Linked DNA regions of Oryza sativa Japonica Group. The main gene of each other region encodes a partner of the protein of the gene in region 2 in a complex. Links are inferred from orthologs where the notes say so. Each region holds a gene or a part of one and is shown on either strand. Other genes may lie near its edges.

Region 1 (4,169 bases), on a different chromosome or scaffold from region 2:
CTACTCCTCCCTCTTCTTCTCCCCCTCTCCGTCGACTGCTTTGCTTCGCTTTGGTTTAACGAGAAACTAACGGGGCTTGGGTCAGACTGACAGGTGGGGTCCGAGTAGTGGTGGGACCCGGTCCTCAGTGAGAGTGGGTTACACTGACAGGTGGGGTCGGAAAGAGTGGTGGGACCCAGTCGTCAGTGAGGGAGTTTTGCCGTCGCTTCGGTTTCGTGAAGAGGAAGAGGAGCGTCGCCGCCCGCCACGAAGGTTAAGTAGGTAGACGGTGGAGATCGCTTGTGCCGCCGCGTGCGCTGCATCGGGGCAACCGTTGGATCCGTGCCTTCCAAGACTCGGAATCGCAACAGTTGGATTCAGGACGAACCGTTTAGGGATAGAGAAAAATTCACAAGGATTTCATACGAATACAAACATTTGCGCCATTTTTAACGGATAATAAAAAGGCAACGGCCCAGAGTTGTGACGCCACGCTGACAACCAAATGCAAGTAGGTTGGATGGATCAATCGAACGTAACACATTAAGCAGTTTATGCTTGACTGAAAGATAAATGATGCATAGGCATAGCGATGTGTATGTAACAACAATGCACTAGCTGATGGAAAAACGAAACAAAAGGGTGACAGACCAGTGGCTTCGTTCTTATTGATCATACAACATGTCGATTGCACGTTATCAACTGGAAAAAGGGAAATTAAGTTGTTTGCACCCTGGAGGTGCTAAGTTCTGCTCCTAGATGCAGCAGGGCTCCTGTTCATCAGTCTTCTTTTCCATAGTTGTAGATAATCTCGATCTGCAGGAGTCATATAATCACCTTATAAACTGATTGCGACACTTTGATGCACGAAACACAAAATCAAAGGAAAACAATGTGACAGCAGCAAAACCGGAACAAGTATGGCAGCAAGTAAATCCTTATTCATAAAGCTAAAATGCATCGCAAACTGCACAGAATTTGCTTCTTTTCACATATGTTTATCCATAAAACTAAAATTTGCATACTATTCACATATGCTTGTCAAGTTTTGACTGAAGCATACATGCCATATAAGTAATTTGGATACAACTGGAACAAAATACTCTCTGGTAGTACCAAAAGAATAAAAATTGAGCTAGTAAAGTGGATGGTGACTAAGAGAATGCAGCACCAAAACCAGAACAGGCAACTTAACTAACCATACAGTTTGTGGCAGTTACCTCTTTATTAATCAGTTTATAGTCACACATCTAAAAGCATAAAATAAGATTTAGAACAAAGAGTTATGTGTTTCGACAAACAGAGATGTACTCCAATGTGGACTAATGTTTGAATTAAGGTGATCTAAATCTGCTGAGTAATTTTGTTAAACATTTAGATACAAATCTCCAAGAAAACCATTATAAATGACAAGCACTACATCAATTTCTACTAAGGACAAGCAAATATTGGACGAGGAAAAGGAGTCAGGCATGATAAGATAAAAAATTATGAATTTATGTTCTTACCCCTTTAGGTGGAGGAGGGTTTCTTGTGAATTTACTGCCACCAGGAGCCCATGGGACTGCAGAGATTCGAACAAGCATATAAGAACCCCACCTTATTGATCACATCATCAAGGGCATCATAATATGCCTAAAACATACTACTAACTCCTAAGGGAAGTTTGAATATCTCTAGTACAAGGCAGTAGTGTTTACAGCAACGGTGAATACAAAGTCAGTCTGATTTGTGAGATTCACATATCAGCTCATTGCACCAGTAGTCCAGTACATTGACTTGAAACTAGCAATACATCTCAGAAACAGCTGCAGCCTTTTAGTCCCAACTCCCAAGCAAGTTGGGGTAATCTTAAACAATATAGGTAGAAATAACTATGAGCTGAATGGTGATTTGGCATTGCCATTTGAAAGATAATAATCTGTAAGGCAGTTACTTTATAGAAGCAAATCTGTATGGCACCGCATACTTATCAGCAGGGATGTTCATATATGGTTCCAGTGAAACCGTGTAATCACATCAGTGGCAACGCTAATCACTAGCTACTTTTGCTTAAGTTTGTTTTGGAAGGTTTCTTACAAATCATAGTTGAACACCCCTACTTATCTTGTACCCATTTTAAGAGTTCTGAAGCCTTGAAAGTAAAAAATTAAACGCCAAACCAAACAGAAATGCTACCATCCTACATGACTTAACAAGAGAAATTCGGCTTGAAAGAGAGGTTTCGGCAGTGAAAGCAAAATTCTCCAGCATTTCAGAGCTTACCAATGTAGGGATCGGGATGCTGGAAATTCCTGTACTGCGCTTCCGCATCATCGATAAGCCTATCGATCACATCCGGGTTGTCCTGCAATTCCCCTCACAAAATCAAACACACAAAAAACCATTCGTAAACTACAACTCGCGAGTTCATTTCGCGACACAACACAACAAGCGGAGGCGGAGATGCGGGAAGCGGAAACGGAGGCGTTACCACATCTCTGTTCGCCTCGAACTTCTCCCTGAGATCCGACGCCTGCGAGGGAGGGGGGAGGAACACGAGGTCAGATCCGCGAGCACGGGGGGAGCAGATCGGAAAGGGGGGAGAGGAGAGGAGAGCTCACGTCCTGGTAGAAGAGGTGGCGGTGGACGGCCCAGTTGAGGGTGTCCTTGAGGGCGCGGCGGTAGAGCAGCCGCACCCTCTCCTTCTGCGCCGCCCGCCGCGCCAGGAACCCCGCCGACGTCGCCATCGCCGCCGCCGCCGCCGCCGCTTGCTTCCTCTTCTCTCTCCTCTCCGATGGTGTGGTGGGATTCGGATGCGGAGGAGAGGAGACCCAACTGACAGGTGGCCCAAGCGGAGGAGGGTGGATACTGGCTAGCAAGGCCTTGATGGGCTAGGCCTTTTGTATAGTAGTGGGCTGGGCTTTAGCACACAGGGTATTATTGTAGTTGGGCCAATTTTTGATGGATTTGGGCTTCTACTAATCTGGTAAGGACCTCATTGTAAACCACTTGTATTTTCCTTTATTTTTTTATCTTTTCTTACATTTGTGGGTATCCTAGCGAAATCCGTAAATATTTTTCTGCTCCCTCCATTTCATATTACAAGTCACTTTGATTTTTTTCCTATTTAAATATGTTTATGTTTGACCAAGTTTATGAAAAAAAATATTGTAACAGTTCTAATACAAAACAAACATGTTCTCAACATATATTCAATGAAACATTCTAAAAAAAACATATATTCAATGTACCACAAGCTGATCCTTGGTATTGCCTGGCCTCTATTCAAAATAAACAAATTCTCCAATGACATTGAGCTACTAATACTAAGCAATTTCTTCAGACAGAAATTCTCAAGAAAAAGAGGAGAAAAGAACTCATATGAGAGTAAAGCTGTGTTCGCTATGGGTTGTTCCCAACTTGGAACAGTAGCATGGAAAACGGAGCGATCCATTAGCGCGTGATTAATTAAGTATTAGCTATTTTTTTCAAAAATGGATTAATTTGATTTTTTTAAGCAACTTTTGTATAGAAACCACTGGTGGAGAAACCCTTTGTAGTCCCGGTTCGTAACCCCCCTTTAGTCCCGGTTTCCAAACCGGGAGTACCAATCCGGGACTAAAGATCGCTATCTTTAGTCCCGGGTGAAATAACCGGGAGTAAAGATCGATCTTTAGTCCCGGTTGGTGTTACCAACCGGGACTAAAGCTAGAGCTGACCTTTTTTTTTTGCATGCCCCTGGTGCTGCATGGTTTATATATATATATATATATATATATATATATATATATATATATATATATATATATATATATATATATATATATATATATATATATATATATATATATATAAACCATGCATATATATGTTTCAATACATATATATGCATACATATATATATGTATTTATACATATATATGTTATGCAAATGCATATGTATATAGATATATATATGAACAAAATATATTTACATTATAGAAAATGTGTACACATGCATATAGAAACATATGTAGTCATGTATTAATTACAATCCATTATATGTCCTAGCTAGCTACGGTTTCGACGTAGTAGTACTCGCTGCTAGCTCAGAAGCTAAGGACCAGTGAATTGTGTTTCCGTCGTAGTAGAATTCACCCTTGGGATCAAGGATTTCTTCGTTGATGAATCCCATGAGTTGTTCTTGAACCGCCGCGATAAATTCCAGG
Region 2 (2,715 bases):
TAGGGAAAATGCAAGTACAAACTTGAGTATCTGCCGTGTTCACTTCACATCATAAGCTTGTCTTGAACTGGATTTGAGGGTTACGCGATTAAATGGGGTGTCTTAAACTCAATTTTATTTTCGGATGCAAGAAATGCAATACATTTGAATAGCCTAACCATAATTTGGTCACATAAAACCAAATTGAAAACTACTAAAATGGGGGAAACAAAAGGTAGCATACATTTTTCACGAAACTACTGAGATGTCCCACATCCTACATTATTTCCTACAATAACCGAGCCATGATTCTTTTAGCAGCCTGCTTGGTCTCCATATGCATAAGCAGATGGAAGAGAACTGTTAAAAGAAAATGCAACACTATGTTGTTAAAGAATGAAATTTGCACATACAGATCTTGCAACAAACTGGAGCAAGTTTGTGCACCACAAAACTAGTTCATCAACAACAGCACATCCCAAAACTATTTAACAACAACGGCACATCCGACATGATGAACAATTGAGCAAAAGAGCAAGAATCTAGCATCATATTGTCACAAAACCGAAATTGTGGATGTTACATTAGAGATCGACATCGATGGCAACATAACACATAATCTAGAGTACCAGGGACAAGTTTTCCTGAACCACTCCAGCAAAATTATTCATCCCCCGCAGAACAAAAATAGTAAATCAAGAAAAGCCTCACCACGGCACGACGGATCGGTGAGGTCAGGCGGCCATGGGGTGGTTGGCGACGTACTCGATGGCGAGCGGGAGGGAGTCGATCTTGTCGGCCTCCTGGTCGGGGATCTCGAGCTTGAACTCCTCCTCGATCGCCATCACCACCTCCACCGTGTCCAGGCTGTCCAGCCCCAGATCCTTCTCGAAGTGCGCCTCGGGACTCACCTGCCAACAACAAGCTAGGGTTAGGGTTCGGATGGCGACGGCGGCGGCGTGGATTCGAGCTGCGGGCTGGTTGTACCTTGGAGGGGTCAACCTTGGGGTGGCACTTGAGGACGTCGAGGAGGCGGTCGACGACCTCGTCGCGGGTGAGGTGGGCGTCGTGGGAGGACATGGGCCGCGCGAGCCACCGCGCCAGGGCGTGGGGCTGGGACGCCGCCGCGGCCCCCGCAGCCGCCGCAGGGGAGGGGGAGAGGCGGATGCGGCGGAGGATCGCCGGTCGGAGCGCCGCCGCCGCCATTCTCTCTCTCTTGGGGCGATTCGGATTTGAGTCGGCCGCCGGAATCGAGGAGGATGAGCCGATGAGGTCGCCGTGTGCTGGTGTGTGAGTGTTTCTCTCTGATCTTACTTTAGAGGACTAATCGAGTTGCTGGGCCGTTTGATTGCAAATCAACGGCGCAGATTAATCGAGTTGGAACTTTTTTTTAATTACTCCAACCATCCTATTTTAAACGCAGTTATGAGTTTCCATGTCAAATTTTGATTAAAAACACATAAGTCACGCATAAAGTACTATTCATGTTTTATCATCTAACAATAACAAAAATACTAATCATAAAAATTTTTTAAAGAATAAATTGCGTTGGCGGTACAAGAACTTGGCAGGTGGGTGCGATTAGGTGTAAAAACTTGAAAATCAAGCATAGCAGTACAATAACTTGGTTAGGTGGGTGCGCTCATGGTGCAAAAGTAGCCATGTAAAAAAAATTACCACGTTGCTATTCCACCTTAGCAAAATTGCCACATCAGCTTTGATATGAAAGACCTATCTCATTTTATAGAAAACCACAAATAGCTTTTTTTTTTGTTCCAATCACATTTCCTTTTTAACTCGACAATCAGAACAAACGAATGCATATCTCCTTCCATTTTTCTCGACGTGTTCCTAATTGAGAGGCGGCTGCGGTGGTGGCGATGGCGGCGCAGCGATGGTGGCGGCGGCAGTGACGACGACAACGAGGGAAACCGTTACATCGCAGCGGCGGCGAGGGCTTCGTGTGCCACATTAATTCAAGCACTAAACCAGTAACCAAACCAATTCAAGCCGACAATTTGCTCCTAGCTTGTTATGGTAAATCACTTGCTGATGGTTGTAGATTTCTATTTTTCGTTCATTTGATGGATGATTTCAAAGTTAAGGTTTTATTGATCTGTACAATGGCTGCATTTTTTTGGGTTTTCACTTGAATATCCTGTTATTTGTTATTACAATTCAATGAAGTGATCTAATGGTACTAGCCACTAGATTGGTTTTACTGTAATTATTGGTGTTTCCTATAACTGTATATGATATAAGAGAAACATTGGCAATGAGAAATTCTTGCTAGATGTGTTGTACCCTTTTCAGTAGATATAATTAGTTGAATAATCTGCAAATAATATTATTTTCCTTATGCGGTATAACACATCAACCAATTATTTTGTATTGCAGGTCATGAGGAAGAAGAATTCACAATTGAACTGTATCGTGGTGGGTTTTTTTTTTGGAGTTGGCAGTAGCAGAATTTATTTGGATGAGAAGATGGACTGGTTTGATCATTGTGATACAGGAGGAAAACAGATATATCTGAAGAAGTAATTGGAATACAAAAGTTATTAGGGACTTTTCTGTAAAATGAGATGGTCAATGCATGCTCATGTGGCACTTTCGCTGAGGTGGAACAATGGCGTAGCAACTTTTGCACCATGAGCGCACCCACCTAGCCAAGTTATTGTACCGCTATACTCGGTTTTTAAGTTTTTGCACCTAATCGCATCCAACTTTCTTGTA

What was found.
Region 1: the proteins of acyl carrier protein 1, mitochondrial (region 2) and NADH dehydrogenase [ubiquinone] 1 beta subcomplex subunit 9 are in contact, whole or in part, in a cryo-EM structure (PDB 8BEH), measured with the Arabidopsis thaliana proteins. The link is inferred for Oryza sativa Japonica Group from reciprocal best matches to the Arabidopsis thaliana genes MTACP-1 and CIB22. Residues at the interface, in NP_181990.1 of Arabidopsis thaliana: Asp78, Ser79, Leu80, Asp81, Val83, Glu84, Val86, Met87, Glu90, Glu91, Lys94, Leu95, Glu96, Ile97, Asp99, Lys100, Ala102, Asp103, His118, Met120; in NP_567970.1 of Arabidopsis thaliana: Glu18, Arg21, Ile22, Tyr24, Arg25, Arg26, Leu28, Lys29, Leu32, Arg38, Phe41, Arg49, Phe52, Asn53, Tyr84, Ile85, Val86, Pro87, Trp88, Ala89.

What each region holds. Positions count from the first base shown.
Region 1 is NC_089040.1:31,147,718-31,151,886, forward strand, and holds NADH dehydrogenase [ubiquinone] 1 beta subcomplex subunit 9, read right to left. Parts: upstream 2,802-4,169; 5' UTR 2,709-2,801; coding exon 2,583-2,708; intron 2,495-2,582; coding exon 2,453-2,494; intron 2,327-2,452; coding exon 2,245-2,326; intron 1,544-2,244; coding exon 1,488-1,543; intron 796-1,487; coding exon 760-795; 3' UTR 475-759; downstream 1-474. UniProt on the Arabidopsis thaliana protein: Accessory subunit of the mitochondrial membrane respiratory chain NADH dehydrogenase (Complex I), that is believed to be not involved in catalysis. Complex I functions in the transfer of electrons from NADH to the respiratory chain.
Region 2 is NC_089041.1:6,877,064-6,879,778, reverse strand, and holds acyl carrier protein 1, mitochondrial, read right to left. Parts: upstream 1,268-2,715; 5' UTR 1,186-1,267; coding exon 967-1,185; intron 891-966; coding exon 714-890; 3' UTR 502-713; downstream 1-501. UniProt on the Arabidopsis thaliana protein: Carrier of the growing fatty acid chain in fatty acid biosynthesis. May be involved in the synthesis of short and medium chain fatty acids.